3 linked regions of the Schizosaccharomyces pombe genome follow. The gene in region 2 interacts genetically with the main gene of each other region. Each region holds a gene or a part of one and is shown on either strand. Other genes may lie near its edges. The genes, in order: rgf1, rga1 and rgf2.

Region 1 (8,456 bases), on a different chromosome or scaffold from region 2:
ATAATTAATATAAGAGGATTTAGCAGCATGAATCCACTCTAGTAAGATATCACCAATAATTGAAACTACTGGGCCCTGGAGACGTTCCCTCATAATTAATTGTGGTAAGAACAGTCGAGAATGCAATTGTCTGATTGATTCAACATTTCCAAATACAGATTGAATAAAGTCAGCCACTCGATTGCTGGGAACAATCGCATCTTGCTGCTGCACAATTCCGTCCCTAAACAGTTCAGCTAGGGTATTTAAGTCTGCAACGTAATCAGATTCCTTACAAATAAGCTCGTGGATATTATTTTGCCTAGCAATCTCTCTTTTACTGAGAGAAGATGGTAATGAATTTAGAGAAGAAATGTTCCAGAAAATGCTCCAAGTATCGCTACTCTGTCCTGGCAGAGAAGTGAATTCAAGCGACGAGTTACGAGCACATCTACAGCTATAACATTGATATTTGGAAGGACATGATCTGGATCTACAAATGTAAGAGTAACAGCCGCCGTTGGTCAAAAATGGAAGTACTCCACTACCAGAAGGAGGTTCATTAGATGTGAAAGCAATTTGAAGCTTTTCAAGATTTATGACTTCCACAAGACCGTAATTAATCCAATCACCAAGGATGTTTTTCGCGATAATTTCAGCAATCAAAAATTCCATAGATGCAATGTGAATAGTAAATAGCGTAGCCATCACCTGAGCTACTTCTCGACGAGACACACCTTCGTGGACCAGGCCACCAAGAGCAGTAAACACTTCTTCTTTGCACCATTTGTATAATTTACCGACCAACCAAGGTTCTCTACAGCTGCTAAAAAGGGTTTCCGATTGAGCACGTCTGTGAGTTCGAGTTATCAAAGGAGAAGAAATTTTTCCAGATGCATAGTCTTGGACAGGTATCTTTGGTAGCTGTCTTGTAGAGGAAATATCAGATTTTAAACTATAAGGATTTGGGGGTGTTAGATATTCGACGGAAGGGCTTAAAGGCGACTGTGGACGAAGAGCGTCGCTCGAGTAAAGACGAATCGGACTAGGAGTGCGAGCCGGTGATCGAGTAGGTGATAAAGGAAGATATGGCTCTGGTGAGCAGGATAACGATATGTCATTGTATAGAGAGTAAAGACTAGTGGAGGATGTGGTGCTGTAAGGAGAAGAATGCGAAGAAACAGAAGAAGGAAGGGGTGGACGTGGTAAAGGATGCACTAAGGACCCACCAGGAGAAACAGGCGTTTCAGGTAATGGACGAAACGAATCTACAGTATTTTGTTTGTTTCCAGGAGATGTTAAAAAGGGGTCCGTGTCAAGCGGGTTGTTAGGACTGAAATCATCAAATAAGGCATTAGGAAATGAAGAGTAAGTAGTATAGGCTGCAGAATTTTGAGGTTCATTCGGCAATTGTCGATACGTTGTTCTTGATGGAGATGACTGAACCGTGTAAGACGCGACTCTACGAGAGTTAATGGATGCTGGATGTTGAGGAGGCGAATAAGAAAACCGATGGGGAGAATTATTCGAACGTTTAGAAAGAAAAGGAGGAGAAAAGAGTCTGGTGGTAGAAAAGTCGGAAAACGATAGACGTTTCTGAAAAGATGGTGGAGAAGAGGAATGAGGAGGATAAGTGTCCTCTGAAGAGTCTAAACAAATTCGGCTCTTTCCACCATGGTCTTTCGAGCTCCGATGAAAAAGTTCATTGGAGAGCTTCATAAAAGAAAAAGTGGTAGGGGGAACCACAATCACCAAAAATGACTAGGTCAAAAAAGAACTACAATAATATTTGAAGAATCAAGGCAAGCTAAGGCCAAATAGGAGTCAATTTCAATTGCAATCCAAGAAAGAGAAAGGTCAAAACTAAATGTTGCAGGATGGACAGTGCAACAAAAGAGAAAAGAGAGGTGAAAAAAGATAGAAAAAGGAATTGAGAAAGAAGAGTATAAAAAAAAAGAAAGAAATGCGAAGAGAAATTAATAAATGGAATAAAATAAGGGAAAATAAATTAAAATAGAACAAATTCAGTGTCAATGGAATTCAAAAAATGCAAACCAATCTCGTACGCCCTCAAAAAAAGCAATTTTATAGTAAGCCGGAATGAAAACGATTGATGCTTTCAAAGTTATGCGATGAACCAGAGAAACTCCCGTCCTCTATTAATAAAAGACTTTGACATAAAATTACGAATACAGAAAGAAAGAAAAAAAGAAAGAAAGAATTGTATCGCAATATCAATGCAACAGTCTGTTTATTCGGTTTGTGATGCCACAATAAAAGGGTTAGGGCGGAAGGAATAATATAGGATGATCTGATTGAAACAACCCAAAAAGGAAAGAAAGCTCCCAAGCGTTTCAGAGGAATCAAGTTTCGTAGGTTTATAGACAGAGAAAGAGAGAAAGCAAAAGCAGTATATTATGAAAGGTAATGACTTGATCAAAAAAACAACCTCTTCTAATGAAACGTTTGGGATAAATCAAAATCGATGCCTAAGAAAAGATTATAGGACTTTATGGTTTTTAAATATATGTGTAAATGTTAAATAACTTATAACCCACCACCAAGGGATCTTCGTGGACGGCGAGCGGAGTGGATAAGAAAATGGCTGGTTGTATGTTCGCGACGGAAGAACAAAATTGGTCTTTGACTAGCAAATTTTCCAAATTTAGATTACATGATTTAAACGATAAATAGGGCAAATAAAGTGTACAAAAAGATATTTGATCAATTTATATGATGTTGAGCACAAGCTGAATAGTAAACAATGCGAACGCAATTAAAATAAAATAAGTCAATACAGCATAGTCATAGAAATCGATCAATTGAGGTTATCCGGATTAAAGCTAATTATTTTAGATGATGTTTTTCATATTTGTAAATCGGTAATACAATTATGAGCTGGTCGGACAGAAAAAGTGAGCACATAAATTGCAGCAAGTAGAAAAGCAATAGGCAATATAAAGTAAAGGAGTTCATTCATGACTTCCCTTTTTATATAAGCGTTTTTTTTTTTAGTGGAAAGTCGACCAGGATGCAGTTGAATGTTGATATTAACTTTGTTAGGACTAGTGAAAATTCAGATTTGTACTTTTTTTTTAAGGAGTTCAAGACTTTTTTACTACATATTCAACATTGAAATCACCTTATCTATAGAAGAAGTAGATAAACTTAGCCCAAAACAGCATACTGATGACTTATAGCTTCTCATCCCTTCATAATATTAATGCGGTTTACTGCTGCTGTAACAATTCTTCTGATATATTAAGTATACGTATTTTTCCCTTCGAGGATAATCTTTTCTTAATATACCTGTTGCTCTCTCAAATTGCTAAGCAGACAAGTAAACAAATCAATTGTTTCATTGAACGAACCAGGACGGCTATATAAACTTATTATTATAATTTAAATCAAATTTTAAACATTCAACTCTGGAAACACTAACAAAAGCCTTTTTTTATGTCGCCTTTTAGCATGTGTTTCGAGTGGAAACCCTCCATGCAAAAGAAATTGAAGGTGAAAGCAATATACTAAAGCAAAACATTAATTCATCAAGCAATACGCAATTTACATATTAATGGTCTTTGATTTAGAAAATCGTATAAATTAGAATTTTTCATCATCTTACCGTTATAACGAGTTCGTAGCTACTTTCGCAGAAAGTTTGTGGTCAAATTATCTTGTCTTTTTCTCCACCACCAAACCCTCGTTTTCACGGGAAACATTCAGCATTGTCGATTCGATCGTCAAACTGATTGTTTTTATAGTAGCAATGGATTACCGGCATCCAAATGCACTCGGTGTGAATGAGAGCTCGCGTGCTTATGAGGAAATTTTTGGTGCTCCAAGAAAACGGGAGCCGGCGAGAACTGTAAGTACTCCTGCGTTCATGGAACCGGCTCCAGTCTCAAAAAAACCTCTTCCTCCTCCCACGCGAAGGCTTCCTCGGAAACCTTTGCCCTTTCGTTCCACGAGTTTGCAGCCTCCATCGTCTCAACCTCCTGCACCTCCAACTCATCAGAGAGAAGCATCTCCTGTGAAAAATATTGAGCACAGTGAATCTTTTCCTTCCGTTTTTGGTACTTCAAATAATCACCAGATCGTCCCATTGACTCTTAAAGACGGAAATGATTTTGGTGCTCTATATGCATCTTTAAACACCACACCCCATTTTCCTCAGGTATCGAATCATGCGCCCAATAACTCTAATTCCCCTTCTTTGACTTGGCACACATCATCCGGTGATGATTCCAACCAAAATCCTTTTTTCGTTCGGCGTCAGTCTCAGAGTAGCACGTCTCCGGTTTCGGATTCAGTAGATGAGAACCTCCTTTCAGCAGTCTCTTCTGTTACAGAGTCCGTAGAAACAAACCTTCATCTCGATCAAAATTATCCTTACGGCTCTCCTGTTCGTTCGTCTAAAAATCCCTTTCTCTCTTCAAATTCTCGATTACCAACTGATGATTCTTCTCACACTGTTGGTTCTCATTCATTTACTTCAGGAACTCACCCACCCATTGTTTCTTCTAATTCCGCCTTTACACTTCCCAATGCTGTTACTCCTGCAGCTCAAGCACCTCTCATACGTAGTGTTAGTGAATATCCTGCTAACGTTTCTCCACCTGCCCAGTCCCTTCAGCTACCAAAATCTACTAGCAATCCCGCGGATCTTCATTTAAGCATAGCTTCTGCTAGCAGCCATAAGAATATTTTTTCTGGGTTGGACGTCTTTTCTAATGTCTTTCATGGTCCCTCTACCACATTACGAGACAGAGAACATGATATGCGAAATCGCTCATTTGATCATTCTACCTTGGCTCATTATGAAGCAGTTAAGCAGCAGAGACTTGGTGTTGAACCTACTGCAAGGTCCTTTACGTTGAGCTCTTATAAGTCCCGTGCAAGTGGAAATTCCCTAATTAATGATCGAAGCTCTACAACAACGCCGACGTTTGTTAATTCGGAAGCTAGCTCGCCTGTTCATAAAAATAAACGAAGACGCAGAATATATGCTGCCTTACTTTCTCGTGTTGCCAGCGAATTGTTAGATAGACTACAGCTAGGTGATATCACGAAAGACGGTTTAATTTATTCTAATGCCTTTACTGGCGATCATGCAGTCACCGTGCTAATGGGTATTATACATACTTCTGATAGAAATCTCGCTTTACTTGTCGGACGCTCTTTAGATGCACAAAAATTTATTCATGATGTTACCTATGATCATCGTCTTCGTGATTCTCATCGTGAAATATATCAGCTTCAAGGTACTGGTTATCGCCCCTTCTTACGCGCAAATGATAATGCATCCATTAACAACAAAAACCATCATAAGGAATTGGAGGACAATGAGTCGGGCACTCGAATCTCACCGTCCACGTTAGGTGACACTTCTTTTCCAAATGGTATATTTACTTTATTGACGCATTGTTACTCTCCAACATGTGCAAAAGATCATCCCTGCTATTCTATTTCATGTCCTCGACGATTGGAACAGCAGCACAGACTATTTGCCAAAATGCGTGCAAACACTGAACAGTCTTCCTCCCTAGCGTTTGATGATAAGGAACAAAAATTGTGGATTCACAGCGTACCCCAGGAGATTGCTTATAGTGTCAGTGACCGGGAAAGAAAGCGTCAAGAAGTAATTTGTGAGGTTATCTATACTGAGCGAGATTTTGTTAAGGATTTGGAATATCTTCGGGATTATTGGATTAAACCACTATGGGCTTCATCTTGTATACCTGAACGAAAAAAAGAAAAATTTATTCGTACTGTGTTTTTAAATGCTTTAGAGGTTCAAGCAGTTAATTCTAAATTGGCTGAAGCTCTTACTAAAAGACAAAACTATAAACCCATTGTGGATAATATTGCGGATATATTTTTGGAGCACGTTCCAAAATTTGAGCCTTTCATACGATATGGTGCAGGCCAACTCTACGGAAAATACGAGTTTGAGAAGGAAAAGTCATCTAATCCTGCATTTGCTAAGTTTGTCAGTGACGTTGAACGTCTGAAAGAATCACGAAAGCTAGAGCTAAACGGCTATCTGACTAAACCAACTACCAGATTGGCTCGTTATCCATTACTTCTAGAAGCGGTATTAAAATATACTGATGAGGGTAACCCTGATAAACAAGACATTCCGAAGGTCATTAATATCGTTAGAGGATTTCTCTCACGTCTTAATGTTGAAAGCGGAAAAGCAGAAAATAAGTTTAACTTGTTTCATTTGAATCAACAGCTGGTCTTTAAACCTGGAGAACATTATGATTTACATCTGCTTGATGCGAACAGACAATTAATATTCAAAGGACCCTTGAAGAAAAGAAGTGCTGGTTCCACTTCTTCAGAGTCTGCGTCGGATGTTACTTTGTTTCTCTTTGACCATGCTTTGTTGATAGTAAAACCAAAGACTATTAATAAACGTGAATTATTGAAAGTTTTTCAAAGAGTATGTTTTTTCTATTCATTTAAATTGTTTTTTCTAACTAGTATAGCCTATTCCTCTATTACTTCTTCAACTATTCCTTGTTGATGATAATGGATTAAGAATCCCTTATTCAAGTAAGCAACAACTAGCAGCTGTATCAAAAGCAGCGAATGGGAAGCCACCTTCTAGATTTTATCCATTTAGCTTACAACTTTTGGGTCGTAGAGGGTACGAAATCACTCTTTATGCAACCACTGAAGTTAGTAGGGATAAGTGGTTAGAGCATATTGACAACCAACAAACATTGCTACAACATCGTAACCAGTGGTTTGAGTCTGTTACCATTTGCTCTAATTTCTTTGTTGGTGATAATAAAGTAAATGCGATAGGCGTTTATGATAGTGGTCGTCGACTTTTATATGGGACTGACACAGGTGTGTACGTCTCTCTTCGAAAAGCAAACAGCCCACTTCAATTCAAGCCTGTACGTGCGTTAAATATTCCCAACATTTCACAGCTTGAGGTTATTGAAGAGTATAGTTTATTGCTACTGCTTTCCGATAAGGTGTTATATTCGTATCCTTTGGAAATGATTGATGCGGATACTACTCAAGCCCCTAAAAAAGCAAGGAAAGTTTCTGGTCATACAACTTTCTTTCGCGTAGGAATTTGTCTGGGTAAAGTTCTTGTGTGTGCTGTCAAAAGTTCCGTCTTGAGTGCTACTATAAAGGTTTTTGAACCAGTCACTAATTACTCTAAAACACGGAACATGCCAAGCTTGAAAAAATTCCTTACTGTTAACCAAGACCCATTGAGGATTGTCAAAGAGCTTTATATACCCACGGAATCAACTTCGGTTCACTTCCTGAAGAATAAACTCTGTGTCGGATGTACGAGAGGTTTTGAGGTGGTCAGTCTCGATAACCTAGAGACGCAGTCTCTACTGGATCCAGCCGATACGTCTCTTGAATTTGTGGAGAAGAAAGAAAATGTTAAACCTATCGCTATCTATCGTATGAATGGCGGTGAATTTCTTTTATGCTATTCCCAATTTGCTTTTTACGTAAATCGAGATGGATGGCGTTCTCGTCCTACATGGTTTGTTGTTTGGGAAGGAAGTCCTCAAAACTTTGCCTTAAGTTATCCTTATATATTGGCTTTTGAACCCACTTTTATTGAAATCAGACATGTTGAAACCTCTGAATTGATCCATGTCATTTCCGGCAGAAACATCCGTTTGCTTGCTGATGGAAGAGGAAAGTTAGGGGACGGTGGTGAAATATTTTATGCGTGCGATCAACGTGGTGAAAATTGTGAGACAAGTGTTGTTTGTTCCCTTCGATTGACGAGTGCTGCTGCCCACGCCAAAGAGCAGCATGTAGACAAGTAATTTTGGTTTTTTTGAACTTAATTTTCACGTTTTATTTATAACGGTTAATTGGATATTGGTTTGTTCGGTTATCTTTTCTTTTCTTTTTTAAAAAAATAATTTAGGTGCATGAATTTTAATGATAAATAAGATTTTTTTAAAATATATACGTTAACAATATTTTAAAGTGAATAACTAGATATATTGTAGGCAAAAAGTACTAGCGAATATGATCAATGTTACTATACTAGAAGTAAAATATTTTTAGTCCTCATATTCTAGGGGATCACCATATACCCAGAAACCGATATGATTTAGACGTGCTTCTTGCTGATGCTCTTCTAGAATATTGAGGGATGCGGTATCTTTTTCAAAGTGAGATGTTTTTTTCTTGGGAATAACACTAGCCATGCCGAGCGCAACCAGTTGGGCATTAATACAGTCAGAAAAATCTGAACCATCACTAGGATTATACAAAGTTACAGAATACACGTTTCCTTCGTGTCCATCGACTTTAGCCACTAGACCTTTATTCATGGCTAGCTCCCTGAAAACGAGTCTTGCGTCTTCATAGTAATCAGAGCTGGGAGGAGGTAATTGAACGTAACTGAGACGAGCAAGTTGCGCTTGAGGCTTCAATTTAGTATAGGTATCTGGTAAAGAGGATATGTTTTTGAA
Region 2 (8,073 bases):
TAATTCACGCAAACGATCAGCTTCAATTTGAGCAAGCTCCTCTTCGGTCTTAGTACGCTCAGTAGGATGCGCGCGTTTGTCGAAAACCATTTCACGGACAAATGAATCATAACGTGCATCTCCGTCTGAAATTATTGGTCGTTGTGTTTTTATGCCGGACTTCCTAGATGCTTTTTTATAATCCGACAAAAAGGATTGCAAATCCTCCATCTGTTCGTCAAGTTTTTCTCTTTCGTCCTCATATCTTTCTTTCTCTGCTTGACGTTCAGCTTTGTAATGCTTGGACTTGGCAATAATTTCCGACATCACTTCACGTTTAGATTTATGTGCACCTTCACCTTCTTTCTCATTTTCGGCATCAGAATCCTCAAATCCGCCAAAATGCATGCGACGAACTACTTCATCGTTTAACTCCTCTCCTTCATCAAGTCCAAATCCAGGTTCTTCAAAGGAATCTATATCAGACAAAGGCCTATTACCATGAGTCAAAACATCTTCTGCATCTAGATTGTAAAGCTCTCTTTTGCTACGACGCTGTTGTTCACGACTAAATCGTTCTAACATTTTCTCTTCAACTGATAAATGTGGATTGTTCTCACCAAATCGTCGATCGATTATAGCTCCAGAACGATTCCTCTTTTTCAATTCAGCCCCAATTGTTCTCCTTCGAAGTTCCTCTCCAACACCCCGACTAACTCCGGGTTTACCCTCAGTTCCCTTTACACGTCTACCACCAACATCAAATTTCCGTTTTGTAAACTGCCTGTCAAATAAATTAAACTTAAAAATAATTAGCTATTGCTCTCATAAGCTGGAAAGACAAAAACATACATCTGATTGAATTTTTTGAACTTTAGCCTGTCGGTCTTCATGGGACTCAGTACTTCTAGTTCTCGACTTTTTATTATTTGGACGAGTACCAAGGTTTGCTTGGCGAATACTCGATTTCAAATTTTTTAATTGTGATCCATTTTTACCCATAACAGCAATTTGATGAAGAAATTACCTTCTGGAAGAAAATGTTTGGTATATGATAAAAAGTTAATATTGTGAGTACTCACACTAAAATACTGTAAACTGTGCATTATTATATTTTGGGGCAAAGGATAAATTTTATAATTATATAAAGGTGGTTCACGAACTGTAAACAAATCAACCACCTAGTGTCCTGCAACGTTCCAGATCAGTAATATTATATTCAATTTTAAAATAAGTATTTTGGTAAATTGTTAAAGTGCTTCTTGAAATCATACTGTTGACTTGTGATTGTTAAATGGTCAGGCGTTTCGACGCGGTGCATGAAAAGCAGCATCATCAATCTTTCATTTAAACACTTTTACGTATTTATATAAACCATTAAAAAAGTTATGCCTACAATTGAATTAATTCAAAAGGATTCCAGTAGTCCACAAACGATTGCAATATATAACGCGCACGACATTTTTTCTTTGTAAGTAATTTAACAACAATAAAAGTGTGGTTCATTTCATTCTATGCTTCTTCTTTATTTTTCTTTATTTCCTTCTCATTTTTTAGATAAAAAAATTTTCTGTTGCATTACATGAAATATAAATGCTTATGATGATTATTCGACTTTAATACATTTATCAAAGGCCTTTACCCACAAATCTTTTGTAAGTAACCGTTTCGATTAACCTCTTGGAACAGATATCTATTGTTTGTTTACTGAATTTACAACCTTCACTTGTTATTGCTCAAACCATCACAATTGATCATTTCTGATTATTTTCTTACATAAATTAATGCTCATTTTCTCTTTGATTTTTCTTAAGTGCTAATCCTTTAACTTATTAACCGCGGTAACTCATAAAGCTGATCTACTTCATGAATTCGTAAACTATTTCTTCTGAGATAATAAATACCCGTAGTTTTTTAACGAAATTTGCTCATGACTCAGTGACGAATAGTAGTTTTGAAGCTGTAAAGGATTTGAGGTCCATTGTTAGTATAATAATACACAACTTTTTACAGACGAAAGTAGCTTCAAGCAACAAATCGAATAAGGATTCAGAATTCGAATCAATTGTGTGGAAGTTTGTGCAACTAAGGGTCGTAAAAGAAGATGTAAACTCTGAATTAGCACAACATAGGACCTTAGCGTTCAGTCTGTGAAGAAGCCAAAATGATGCAAGTTAAGCAAAACAAAAAGCAGTTATGAAACTACTCAAAAATGCTCGAATGCCTTTGGTTTCCTTTTTCTCATAAAAAAATAATCGTTATATTATGATAATTCAGTATAGAAGCAACTGTCAGAAATAAAAATAAAAAATTCTGCATGTATTTTTAAGATAATGTATTAAGTGATTTGAGTTTTTATAAACTCCATTTATTTTATCTGAATTCAACCCTACTGAACTTGCAAGACGTACGTAGTCTGGGAAACACAGTGGGAAAGTACTTAAATACTTTTTGGGAAACTTGAACAGGTAGTTAAAATCAAAGTCACTCATATTGTCTATGATAATTTCAAACATCTATAAGGACTCTTGTTATAACATAGACTTCGTAAATGTGTAAAAGCCTTAGCATGAGCAGCGAGCAGCTCTAGTATAATAGTCGTTGTAAAATTCAGTGCCTAAACCTACACCTAAGAATAACTATCCAAAAGGAGCATAAAGTGTAGCATTAAAGAGAGATAAAACAAAAATACAGATTATTCTCTAAACGAAGATCTAAAGTCATTTTCGGGGTGTGTACTGAAATCGGTTTCCCAAATGACTTCATGTCTTAGTCGCTATAAAAATTAGGGTCTATTTTGGCCCCTATATCAAGCTGGAGTTTAGCATTTCTGACTTGGATTCCATGGTGTGCAGTCTCCTCTTAGGTGGAAGTCGGACCAACAACCACCAACATACCGCAACAATAGTTAGTCTCTGAAAAAAAATAGCTTCAAAAGCTATAGGCTTAGTTATTTGAGGTCTTACATATTATTAATTTCACTCTTTTAAAAACTGAAGGAATTGAGTCCCATAAGGTTTTCTTGGGGGTGATTTTCGAACGGAAATATCCCAAAGAGGATTAACTAGTCATACTGGTTTATTAAGTGATAAAGGCGTTTAATATAGAAGCTAAGGTTCGTTCAAACAGCAAGGACAGTATGTCCCAAAGGGACGCCAAAAAAGATGGGTTGCTGTACACAACGAATGGTGTATCACCAACACCACCGAAACGAATTCCTGTTCCTTCCCGTCAAAATAAGATAGAAGAGAATTCTACAACGAAGAATTTCCCCCATTCTCGACATACAAGCACTGTTGCTGGTACTGAGGGTGGCAGCTCACTTTCTCGGAGGCATACCTCTGCTGAGTCTCGAAAAGCGTTGCCTAATCAGCAACAATTAGCCCAATCTGGTTTGCTTAATAAAGAGGAGCAGCAAAGTCTAAAGCGATCAGATACTTCTGTATTTCCTAAGGCTGTAAGGAAAGTTTCTTCATCAAAGATATGTGCTTCATGTGGACAAGTTATATCCGGACAATATGTACGTGCTCTTGGAAATATATATCACTTAGAATGTTTTCGATGCCATGATTGTAATTCTTTAGTTGCTTCAAAATTTTTTCCTATTGATGATCCCACTCTTAACAAGCAAGTGCCTTTATGTGAAACAGATTATTTTCGGCGGCTTGACTTACTTTGTGCAAGTTGTGGAATGGCCCTTCGAGGTTATTATATTACAGCTTTGAATAAAAAATTTCATATAGAACATTTCACTTGTTCCTTATGTTACACTGTTTTTGGTCCGAATGATTCTTACTATGAATATGAGGGCAAAGTGTATTGTCATTATCATTATTCAACACTTTTCGCTGCACGATGTTGCGGTTGTGATGGTCCAATTTTAAGGCAATTTGTTGAAGTTTACAGAAATGGGGTATCTCAAAATTGGCACGTTCCTTGTCATATGATCTACAAGTTTTGGAATGTTAAACTTTGTCAAAAGACATCCATAGAAACTTCTAAAAAGAAGGATTCTGAGCTTTCTCAATCACAATTACGCAAACGGGAAAAACATTTAGAACAGAAAATATTTCATATTTGGCATGCACTCTCTTATTTTGAGGAGTATACAGCTTCGTGTATCAGTGATATGCTTCTCCTTGTTTCAAATGGAGAATTCACAAAAAGTGTTATTTGTGCCCAAAAATTTATTCGTTATATCGAGATACTTTTTAAAGGCATTGATTCGCTAGAAACTATACTTTCAAGTTTTCATGCTAAAAGTATGCCTTATGTTCGTGAAGCTAAGTTGCTTTGCAAGAAGCTAGTTTCAATATTTGCTTTACTTGCTAAATGCCATAATTCGGATATTCGCGACGTTGCTATTGTTCAAGACTTTTTATCACTCTTTACCGGTTTAGCTCATTACCTCAAGTTACTTATTCGGATATCGCTTACGGGAGGTTTACGACTAGAACAAGATCATGCTTGTAAGCATGCTCTTCCCCAGTTTTTACAGACCGTAGAAGAAGCTCGATTTGTCGATCAAGAAGGATATGATAGTTCTTCGTTTGATATGCCTTTAAATTTGGCCAATGCCAGCTCCGATTTATGCTATGTGTGTCATTCTGCCTTGGAGGAAGACTGTGTTCTCCTGGGTGAAATTCGCTGCCATATTGGCTGTTTGTCATGTACTAAATGTAAATACAACAATCGGGAGAATTACGATTGGGCGCGCTGGAACAACCAAACGAAACAAATAGAATGTTATTTATGTTATACTGAATCATCCAACGTTAGTAACGACGAACCTCATCCGTCTTTTGAGTATGTGAGCAGGCTTTCTCAATATATTTACTTGCTACGTATTGCCTTGGTTCGATTATATACTATACTTATGGAGAATAACGACTCATCACAGCGAAAGCCGTTATCTGTTGATCCAAAACAAGAGAATGTATCCAGTACTGTTGAAACAGCGAAACAAGCCGAGACTACTGCCAGTTCAGACAGTTTTCGTAAGTATGCCAATACTCTTAATGATTTGCGACATCTTAAGTCTTCCCGCAATCGTAAGGCCACCTCAAATGAAACCCAGTCCTCAAGCAATTCTACCGAAACATCTAAATTATCAAAGAATGTGTCAGAGTCTGGAAAAGACAAAAGTCCCCATTGGCATTCTCATGGTGGTTCTATTACTGGAAAAAGCATAGTTGAGCAAGCATCTAGTCCTTTGGAAAGAAGGATGGATGCCTTTGATGAAAATCGTGCTTTTACTCTTGATGATATTCCTAAAGTCATTTCAGAACAAAGAAACAGGGAACACCGACCAAATGCATTTAGGCATATGCCCAGTTATACTGATCCTTCCTATCGAAAGAATTCTGGGGCGATTTATGATAAAAATGATGGTACGCAAAAGGGTTTGACTCCTAAATCAGAAGATGCTCCTATTCGTTATCTCTCAGATCTTTCTAATTTAGAATTATTATTTACCAAGCACGTAGCTGTATTAATATTGCACCCTCTTGTACGGGATTATTATTCACTTGATGAATTGATGGAAATGAGCGATTTGCGCAAAGGTGGTTTCTGGGAAAAATTTGGAAAGGCTTTCAAGGGGAAAGATGCCGAAAAAAAGAACGTGAAAAAGAAAGGTACCTTTGGGGTGCCATTGGAGATTCTTGTTGAGCGTAATAACGCTCAGTCGACGGTTGGAACAGGCGTGGGTGTCAAGCATATTCCTGCCTTTATTGGGAATACATTGGCTGCTATGAAAAGAAAAGATATGTCAGTAGTTGGTGTATTTAGAAAGAACGGAAATATACGTAGGTTAAAAGAGCTATCTGACATGCTCGATGTTTCTCCGGATTCAATTGATTATGAGCAAGAAACACCCATTCAGTTGGCTGCTTTATTGAAAAAATTCCTTAGAGAGCTTCCTGATCCTCTTTTAACTTTCAAGTTATTTGGGTTGTTCATTACGTCTTCAAAGTTGGAGTCTGAGGAAGAACGCATGAGGGTTTTGCATCTTACAATATGTTTACTACCCAAGGGACATAGAGACACTATGGAGGTAATTTTTGGCTTTCTATATTGGGTTGCCTCTTTTTCCCACATCGATGATGAGGTGGGAAGCAAAATGGATATTCATAATCTTGCTACCGTAATTACTCCGAACATATTATATTCCAAAAGCAACGATCCTGTTGACGAAAGTTTCCTTGCCATCGAGGCTGTTCATCTGTTGATTGAGAACTTTGAGAAATTTTGTGAAGTCCCTCGAGAAATTAGTCTTTTATTAGATGATCCTACTCTTTTTTATAATAATGCGGCTTGGACATCTAAAGAACTATATAAAAGGTGTGAAGAAATAATTTCTCAGATGAGTCTTGACGAACGGAATACTCCAAAACATACGGCGTCTACAAAGAGGAAAAGGCAACCTATAAGAAGAGTTACAACTAATTTAACGTCAGACGTGCCTTCTGGTTCTGAAGTTGCTGACACAAATTCGCTTTCATCTACCACTAAAGATGAAGCTTCACCTAACAGCGATGCTCAGCCTAAACCTCAAGTTAAACCTCAGCATGCAGTCATTAGGGATTCCTAATTTATCGATACACAATCCCATTTGTCTTTTTTTGTTTTATCATATTTTCAATTTTTACTGAACATTAGATCAGCTACGAAAGTAGAAAGCTCGGTCTGGTACCGCTTACAACTTTGTCGTGTTGAATTCGATGGGATGATGGTACTTTAATAATCGTTCTTTTAATAAAAGGTTACTTGGCTAAAATAATATTTCAGGCAAATATAACTTTCGTTTAATATTTGAAGTCATGAATAACAATCCTTCTCCCAGAATTGTTTTAATAAAATCCTTTACTATATGTTGATTTTTCCGCGTAATAATGTAACATAAAATCATTTTGTTCAATTTATGCTTCTTTTTTGTTACGCAAATCAGTAGAAAGTTTACTTGAAATGTGTAGCAAGCGACCAAGAGTCCATAAGTAAATAGTAAAAAATCCGGCAAATGAAAGCGTAACATTAAGAATGACCCATAAATCGGGGTAACGGGATGGTGGTGGGATAAACAGATCAATTCCCAAAATAACAATCATACCAACATAAAAAGACTGCATCCAGTTAATACACCTGGCATAAAAAAATAGCAAATAATAAAAATAGTCTTACCAGTTGGATGAACCGAAAAAGGACGTTTTTTGAGAAAACTACCATGTCACCAATCCAATTCCACATTAATACTAATGTGAAGTATTGTAAACCAAGACCATCTTTTTTCAGTAACGGCCATAAGCTAATAAAAATATTAGTATAATTTAAACAGTAAATATGTATATTTTACCTGAAAACAGCAAGATTGTTTGCTAGAGCAATCCATGGTTTGGTTGTAATGTTTCCGTGACATAAGAGAATAGAAGTGGGAAGTAAAGGAAGAAGAACCGACTTTTCATGAACTTGGAAAGAGAACAAAAAAAACCCCCATGATGCACTTGCGAAACCCAGAGCTAAAAGACGTTTACGAGGATAAAGAAATAATATAACACAAGATGGGAGAATAGAAATGAGAGTAAAAATCAAGCTAATTACTTGGAGTTGATGTAAAGTAAACACCTCTCTAATTTTGAAAACAGTGTTGAGGGTGCACCAGAAATTAGCAACTTTATCTTCCCAAAGACCACGAGCAAACGGGAACACTCGATGAAGAATTTGAGGAAGCAATGTTTTATAGTCCATGTAAATCCATGGAAATAATATTAAGGAAAACGTAAAAACAACTGTGACTGACAACAAGATAAATCTTGAGAAACGAATCTTTGGCTTTACACAAGTTCCCAATAAGTAAAAAAAAATAGGAGGAGCAAAATATAGAGCCATCTGTTTAAACGTAAGAGCTAAACAGAAAAAAAACGTAGCAGCTACATATTGGTTTTTAAGCAAATTAGCGATTGCATACATAACTAAACCCAGCATAACACAGTTGTACTGAAAATGACCATGATCAATTAAGAGTAAAGCAGGTTGAAAAAGGACCATAATTAGGCTAGCATTTCTGTCCACAAAATTAGGTATACGGCGCGACCACCA
Region 3 (8,348 bases), on a different chromosome or scaffold from region 2:
TCAATCCCAACGTGTTCTTCGTTGCATATGCATTTGATAATTTTTCTACTGCAATAAAAGCAAGTATCCCGCCGAGAAACTTGTAAATCTTTCTCTTCTCTAGCGCTGGAAGCATGATAAGCATTTGGTGATTTTGTTAAAGTTACATCTGCAGTGGTTGATTGATTATTCCCTTCCGATTTAACTAAGAGTTTAAAACTGTTTAAAAGATAATAGGAAGGACTCTTTAGCTTGAAATTCAAAAGTTGACGCGCTTGAGTTGAGAGCAAAGAAACAGGAAATATCCCGTTATGCGTACGCAAATGATTTTCGTGAGTTTCTTTAGTCATTAAGTATTTAATCAAATAAGTTAGGCTTTTCTAAAATATAATTTTGAGCAAGCAATCTACCAATTGTAAGATTTATCAACGATGCTTCTAATTCGAAGATGTAAATCCTGCACTTATAGAAAAGAAATAACGGAAAAAAGAAATACTTTTAACATCAATTAGGAAAAGCATTAAACCTTCAGGTTGTAAATGCACTCAACAATCGTGTTTGTGACAGTGGGAAATGGAGGTAAATAAACACTACAATAACTTCTTATATGGGTGTTTAATGTTCTAAGGTATTCAAAGCAAGGGCGTTAGCATAGCTTTAAAAGATAATAGTAAGTTTATTCAATTATTGAAACACTTTTCAGTCTATTTATTTATAATAAAAATAATGTATAGTTGAAGCTGTAAAGTGATGAACTTTGTCGGTCCAAAGTAAACAAATATTATAGAATACAGCGCTAATACTACTAGCAAAATAAAGTCACCTTCTGAAAAAAAATGTAGTTGCAAAGAAAGAGAGACAAACCTCAAAAATTTAATGAAGAAATATGAGGTCCTTTAATCCCAAGAAGCATTCATGCAAGTCTAAAGACATAAAGTAATTACAAAGCCGAAACAGGTTTATCATTCATCTTCAAATCTTAGGCATAATCTCTGTACTACTTTGATAATTCACCTAAGTATACAGAAACGCTTTGGGGTCAATATACCATCACAAAAGAGAAAAAAATTGAAAAAGACTGATTGTGATCAGCGCAAAAGTTTTATAAAATTATTGAAAGAAACAAACAGCTTTAGAATTCAAAACAGTTTACAAGGGAAAATATTATAGTGCTGAGCTATAAAACGCGTTGATGAAAGCGCTGAAAAAAAAAAAAAAAAGAAAGTTGATCATCAGGACATAAGCATTGGCTTCATATAATTCAATAATGTCACCAATATTGCCAACTTGATTGGCTAACGTACAAAATACATGCAAAATTAATCGTAAAGAGATGTAGAATTATGAGGGAAAGATTAAATCAACCACGAAAGAAACTTTTTTGTTTGCGCAAGCTATAATTTACAAAAATTGCTCGAACACAACCCGTAACAGTTTCCAAACCAGATCAAATGCGTGTATTTAGTATTATCGAATTGCCCGGTTCGAACACTTTAAGCACATTATACCAAGAAATGACCACCCACCCACATTTCAAACGATCAATCATCTTTCCATGAACCGGCAAAGAAATGTTGAACATACGCCATCGGATCATTTGGAGACTTGCTACCCATGTGACCGACACCAGGACTAAATGCAGTTATGGGTAGGATTAAAACATCTCCAACAAGATAAGGTTCTTCTAAATTGGTGATATTCTCAACCGAGAAAGGGCCATACTGCCAATTTAAATAATCCATAATGGCATCGGTCCAAATACCTGGACCAGTCCACTCCATTACTGACTCGCCATTTTTCGAAAGCTTCTTTGAATCATGCAGCTTCCAAGTTTCATCGGTAATTCTACGAACAAGTTCCCAAAGAATTGGATGGCCTGGTGCAGCAGCTATGGTCCACTGACAGAATTGTACACGCCTGGCATAGTAGTCGTTCCAATCAGGGCGGTCGGGATCTGCTTCAATGCCAACGATCAGTCGAATATTACGCTTACGATATTCACGAGGGATCCAATTGTTTATATGCTTCAATGGTGCCGTATCAATGTCGCTATAAATACCACCTTTTGCCAATAACACTAGATACCGAAAGAAATCGGCCTTCAGAACAGGCAGAGGCATCATTGCATACGCTTGTGAAATCTTGGAAACTGATGAATCGCCAAAGCTACTGATGACCAATGCTTTAGACTGCTCATCGTCTAAAACAGCATGAGAATAACTGGGATGGTTGATTCTCCAAAACCGAGTGTACTTCATAACCTCTCTATCAAAAGGGTCCTTGGAAGTTTGCCATATTAACTTGGGAATGTCAGCGTGATAAGGCACCTCAAATTCATAAGTATCTTTAGGAACGATCATGTGTACAGCTTCATTTTCTTCGTCAAAATCTTGAAGCTGTGAAAAGGAGTACCGTAGATGAAGTTTATAATTATTTTCTTCATCAAGTTCTTCCAAGCTGTGTTCCAGCTCTTCCCTCTCCAAATCGCTCAAGTAAGCTTCCAAATCTGGATCTTCTTCTTCTTCAATGTAAGACGGTTGATCATACAAAAGTTCCTCCTCCTCCTGTTGACCAACATAATCTTTATTAGCGGCTTCCGGAGTGTAATCCTCCAACATCGAAATCTCTGTCAAATCTTCCATTCCTTCTATGCTACCATGATTGAATAACAACAGTATGGATCCCGCTATCGCAGCTCCTATTACAATACTTCTCAATCGGAGTCTCAACATGCTGAACTCGTTATATGCTAATGCTCAATGTATCAATTAATTACTTAGTTCGTTAACAAAGACTCATTAATGTGTACTTAATGCAGCTAGGATACAGATTTTGCGGTTTTTCATAGAATCGCAGCAAAACACAGGTGGGCGCTCTGGCTGAGTTTGCGCAGATGCTCTTACTTTAACTTCGCACAAGCGACCCGAAAATCGAAGGGCTTTAATGTGATATTACTCTATAATAGCAACAGCCACACTTGATTGCGGTACCGTGCGTAATATCAGTCCAAGTATTGTCGGCTGTAGTTAACGGTGTGTGTTAGGTGTATGTACACAATAACAGAAAAAGGTTACCCAAAGCACCACCCATAATATAGAAGTGTAAGCAGCGATCCACTTCAAATCCGTTCTTTTGAGTATCCAAGCTGTTTGAATAATTGGAAAGCCGGAGAATTGGCATTAATATACGTACTCCGGCTTCTCGTGTATAATAAGAGGAATTTGGTGAAGTTTCCATGTTCAAATAAGACGACTTGTCTTGTAGAACCTTTTATTGTTGAAAGTAATTGGAGCGTTAAAAAAAAAGGTACTACTTGAATTTGAAAAATATCTTTCTTCTCTTTCTGTTGTTGTGTCGGTACGGACGATTGGTATCAGAAAAGCCCCTTTGCATAGCGCCGTTTTTCTAAAACTTGCGATACCTCGAGAGGGTAGTAAAATTAGAATCAACAAACAAGAAAATGCTTCGCAATGGAGCTCAGAATGGAAATATAAACTCTGAGTCTCATGAATCGTTTGGTAAAGCAGCTAAAGGATTTCGTATTTTTTCATCATTTAGCAGTAGCCAAAAACTGTTCCAAAGAAGGAGTTCTGGCTCTATCACACATTCTCCTACCGCTTTATCATCTACCACATCCCTTAATGAAAATGATGGCAATCATTTTCGTCCTGCATCGAGCCTTAGCTTTTCTCCCTCTTCGCTATCCAGAAAAGATTCGGGTCCTGGAGATGGCTTAGAAGTTAATAAAAAAAATAATTTTTATCGCCGTTCTTCCTCCACAGATGATTTTGGCATTTCTCATGCACGTAGTAGGAAAGAAATACAATCGCTCGGTAGACCCCATACTCGCCAGTCGTTTTCCGTCTCTGATGTATCTAATGGCAGTTCTTATCCTAACATTCGAAAAAATAGCGTCCATGTTAATGCACCCATGCCATCTTTTCCTGAAGGATCAACTGCCGTCTTACTTAAGCATCACTCAGGCTCCAAGTCTGCATCTGCGATTTCGAACATCGCCCCTTCGCATTCCAATTCTACCTCATCTCGTCGCCCTTATATACATCCGGCTTTTCTTTCTCAAGTCGCCGTTGAGTTCCGAAAGCGTCTTAACATCGGTGACCGTGTGAAGGATGGTCTTCTTTATAAAGATGCCTTTCTTGGATCGGAAGCTGTCGATGTATTGATGCATATAGTTCGGACGACTGACAGGAATTTGGCGTTACTTTTAGGAAGAGCCCTGGATTCGCAAAAGATGTTTCATGACGTTACTTACTCTCATAGACTTCGCGACTCGCTCAAGGAAGTTTACCAGTACCGACGTATCATTTCTCCTCCTCCTGGTCTCTCCTCGATGGATTCCAATGGATCGTCGATCGAAAATAACTTTCTCTACACAAAAAGAAGAGCGAACACGTCTGATTCATTTGACTCTGTTTTATCTGATTCTTCTACGACACCTACCATCTCCTCGTCTGTACAGGTAAATTCTTTAGCTTTCATCACCTCATCCCTAAGCGCAATTACTAAGGAGCCTGAAGCTCCTGAAACCGAATACAATCCTCATGGAGTGTTTACTCTTTTAACGGAATGCTACTCCTCTACATGTTCTCGTAATCGCCTTTGCTATTCTATATCTTGCCCACGTCGACTAGAGCAGCAGGCCCGTCTCCATTTGAAGGTCCAACCTGTATTAAGTGGGGGATCAACTTCGATTACAGATAAACAAGAGGAAGATCATCGTTTATGGTCGGAAAATGTTCCTAAGCAAGTTGTAGACCAGATCGATGTCCGTGAATGGAAAAGACAGGAAATCATTTTTGAGGTTATTTACACAGAACGGGACTTCGTCAGAGACCTAGAGTATATACGTGACTTTTGGATTAAGCCTCTTTCAACCTCAAATGTAATACCAGAAAACAACCGACAACAATTTATACGTTGCGTTTTTCATAATATCATGCAAATCCATGCTGTCAATTCTCGTTTGTCAAATGCTCTAAACCGTACTCAAACTCTGCAACCTGTAGTTAACACAATTGGTGATCTTTTCTTAGATTATGTTCCTAAATTTGAGCCTTTTATAAAATATGGTGCCAATCAGGCTATTGCCAAGTTTGAATTTGAGCGTGAAAAAAGTACGAATAGGAATTTTGCGAATTATGTTCATGAAGTGGAAAGATTACGAGAGTCTAGAAAACTAGAACTTAATGGTTATTTGACCAAGCCTACGACTCGCCTTGCGAGGTATCCGCTACTATTAAGTGGAGTTCTTAAGTACACTGATAAAGATAATCCTGATACGGAAAACATTCCTCGTGTAATCGAAATGATTCGTGAATTTCTTACTAAGCTTAACTATGAAACAGGGAAGACTGAAAATAGACTCTCGTTGTTACAGTTAAACGAACAGCTTTCCTGCAGCCCTGCGGATCGAGCAAAATTAACATTGTTTGATCCATCTCGCTTATTGATTTTCAAAGGCGTCGTCAAGCTAAAAGCCAGTAGTTATTCGAATGGGGACACTGAAAACGACATTCACATGTTTTTACTGGACAATTTTCTCTTGTTGTGTAAGATAAAGATTCAAATGAAAAGAAGAGTTCATAAACTGCATCTCAGGCCATTACCTTTAGAATTGTTGTCGATTTCTTACATCGAAGACTCGCCATCGAGAGGTAGCCTTCCGCGTCGACCATCTTCTGCTTTGTTAACTAATCCAATTTCAATTACAAAAAGTAATCCACCTCCTGTTAAAGCATACGGTTTGCAGTTAGTATTTATTGGAGCCCGTGGTTTTTCTATAAGTCTTTATCTCAATACACTGATTGCTAGAGACCAATGGAAACAACACATTGAGAAACAGCAAGATATCATTCGAAAGCGTCATTTGGTATTTGAAAGTCGAGGCATATGTTGTCAGTCCTGGTTTACCGGCAACAAGTTATTATGTGCCGTTGCCTATGGTAAGTATAATAAACAATATGTTAAAGAAGTAAATGTTTGTTAACAGCTCTTTAGATGCGGGCCGTAAATTACTATTTGGAACTTACAAGGGACTATATATCTCTTCTCGAAAAAGTAATAATGGCAGTTGTCTTGAACCCATTTTCAAGCTGCAATTACCAAATATCTCTCAACTAGATGTAATTGAGGAACATAACGTTCTATTGCTTTTAGCCGAGAAGATTTTGTACGAGTTACCTCTGGACGCTCTTGATTCAGTAGAACAAATTAATTCAAAGTCTTTGCGACGTGTAACAGGTCATGTTAGTTTCGTCAAAACAGGTTTTTGTATGCAAAGAATTTTAGTCTGTGCGGTAAAGTCCACCGTTTTAAATACTACATTGAGGATTTATGAGGCTGATCGTGCCTTGAAGAACAAAAAGACCCAGTCTCTAAAAAAGCCTTTTGGCAATCAAGCAACTTTGAAAATATTTACTGTGAGTTACCTCGTCGTTCTTTCTCTATACTAACATTTTTTTAGGAGGTACAAATGCCGATGGAAGCTTTGTCCGTTCACTTTCTCAAGACAAAGCTTTGTGTGGGAAGTTTTAAGGGATTCGATATTATAAGTTTGGAAAATGCCGTATTCCAATCTTTGTTAAATCCTGCTGATACTTCATTTAGATTTTTAGAAAAGAGGGAAGATATTCGACCGATTGCCATGTTTCGCTTAAGAGGAGAATTTCTCCTCTGTTATTCAGATTTTGCATTCTTTGTTAATACGAATGGCTGGAAATCTAGGCAATCCTGGATGATTAATTGGGAGGGCCAACCTCAAGGTTGCGCTTTGTGTTATCCATATATCCTGGCATTTGAGCCGGACTTCATTGAAATTAGGAATGCCGAAACAGCCGAACTCGTTCAAATCATAATGGGACAAAACATTAAACTTTTAACTGATGGCCGAGGGTTAATTAGTGAAGGAGGTGAAATACTTTACAGCACTGAGCCAATTCCATTTTCATCTGGAGAAAATCCTATAGTTCATTCTTTAATACTTCCTCCAGCAAATGCAGCAGGTCCTGCACTTTAGATCGTTTATGACAGTACTGTCAACATTTGTGCGAACTTCTCCTTGAGCATTTTGGAATACTATTTACTACTCCGGACATCTTTTGCATGCCACATCAATTGATTATAATATATGCTATTACAATCTAAGCTTCAAGAATCTATGACCCTGCTTCATCTCTTTAAGGAATAACTTTAAAAATTCCTACGTACATATATTTACTATGGTTGAGATAATGCTATTGACGATTGTGTGTTTTATTAAACGAATTGTGTCTTTTTCAATTTGCTCAACATTGCACGCTGTTTTTGTTACGAATCATTCTTTTTCCATAGATTTATTATGCATTTCTTTAGTCAACTAATAAACAACCTCTCTGCATTCAGCATATTCATTCATTATCTTTTATTGTGATTGTTTAAAATACTCATGTGTAATCGATAACTTTTCATACTATTGAAGATAACATGAACAGTGTTACAATAATAAAAAATGCTTTTATATGCATTCCAAACTCCTTAACATTTTTTATGTTTTAGCATTCACCAAATATTACCACGTAAAATACACTTTTTCGCAACGAGTTGCTTATCTGTATTAAACAGCATTAACGCAGGCTTCGATAGAGTGTGCAGGAGTTTATCGCCACGTTCAGTAGGGTTTTTCTTGCTACATCATTTTTTAGAAGACATCTAAAATCTTAAAAGTAAAGTGTGTACATAAATGTTTTTATAATTTTTTTAAATAGATTTTTCAGTAAAAGTCTGTGTATTTAAAGTACTAAAATAATCAGGAATTATTACAATTTTTCAGGTGTGTGACTGTGTGTTAGAGAAAATATTTATTACAACCCTTCAACTTTTTTTCCACAACCCACTCACCTAGCTAAGCAAGATTGCTAAAATGGTAGACCAACTGGAGGATTCGGTTATTGAAACCAACTACGATGAGGTTATTGACACCTTCGACGACATGAATTTGAAGCCTGAGCTTCTCCGTGGTATTTATGCCTACGGTTTTGAGCGTCCTTCTGCCATTCAGCAAAGAGCCATTATGCCCATTTTGGGAGAGCGTGATGTCCTTGCTCAAGCTCAATCTGGTACTGGTAAGACTGCTACCTTCTCAATTTCTGTTTTGCAGAAGATTGACACTAGCTTGAAGCAATGCCAAGCTCTTATCCTTGCTCCTACCCGTGAGCTTGCTCAACAAATCCAAAAGGTTGTTGTTGCTTTAGGCGATCTCATGAATGTTGAATGCCATGCTTGTATTGGTGGTACTCTTGTTCGTGATGATATGGCTGCCTTGCAAGCTGGTGTTCACGTTGTTGTTGGTACACCAGGTCGTGTTCACGACA

The links.
Region 1: of rga1 (region 2) and rgf1, a mutation in one rescues a mutant of the other (synthetic rescue), as found in Schizosaccharomyces pombe (2 studies listed by BioGRID).
Region 3: of rga1 (region 2) and rgf2, a mutation in one rescues a mutant of the other (synthetic rescue), as found in Schizosaccharomyces pombe (one study listed by BioGRID).

What each region holds. Positions count from the first base shown.
Region 1 is NC_003421.2:1,241,515-1,249,970, forward strand, and holds rgf1 (RhoGEF family guanine nucleotide exchange factor Rgf1), read left to right. Parts: upstream 1-3,671; 5' UTR 3,672-3,748; coding exon 3,749-6,430; intron 6,431-6,476; coding exon 6,477-7,799; 3' UTR 7,800-7,956; downstream 7,957-8,456. Other genes in the region: RhoGEF for Rho1, Rgf3, read right to left, coding at 1-1,698; tudor domain and nuclease, Snd1, read right to left, coding at 8,043-8,456. UniProt on the Schizosaccharomyces pombe protein: Stimulates the exchange of Rho1 and Rho5 GDP-bound form into GTP-bound form. Controls septum formation, cell wall synthesis and localization of F-actin patches. Coordinates actin deposition with cell wall biosynthesis during bipolar growth.
Region 2 is NC_003423.3:4,193,177-4,201,249, forward strand, and holds rga1 (Rho-type GTPase-activating protein Rga1), read left to right. Parts: upstream 1-2,870; 5' UTR 2,871-3,118; coding exon 3,119-6,571; 3' UTR 6,572-6,857; downstream 6,858-8,073. Other genes in the region: U3 snoRNP protein Nop14, read right to left, coding at 1-780, 832-981; glucosyltransferase Alg6, read right to left, coding at 6,900-7,100, 7,159-7,282, 7,331-8,073. UniProt on the Schizosaccharomyces pombe protein: GTPase-activating protein for Rho1. Involved in the F-actin patch localization, cell morphogenesis, regulation of septation, and cell wall synthesis.
Region 3 is NC_003424.3:5,077,666-5,086,013, forward strand, and holds rgf2 (RhoGEF for Rho1 Rgf2), read left to right. Parts: upstream 1-3,052; 5' UTR 3,053-3,439; coding exon 3,440-5,942; exon of another isoform or gene 5,943-5,944; intron 5,945-5,997; coding exon 5,998-6,419; intron 6,420-6,463; coding exon 6,464-7,015; 3' UTR 7,016-7,390; downstream 7,391-8,348. Other genes in the region: protein mcp3, read right to left, coding at 1-329; Golgi alpha-1,6-mannosyltransferase Och1, read right to left, coding at 1,521-2,711; translation initiation factor eIF4A Tif1, read left to right, coding at 7,898-8,348. UniProt on the Schizosaccharomyces pombe protein: Stimulates the exchange of Rho1 and Rho5 GDP-bound form into GTP-bound form. Controls septum formation, cell wall synthesis and localization of F-actin patches.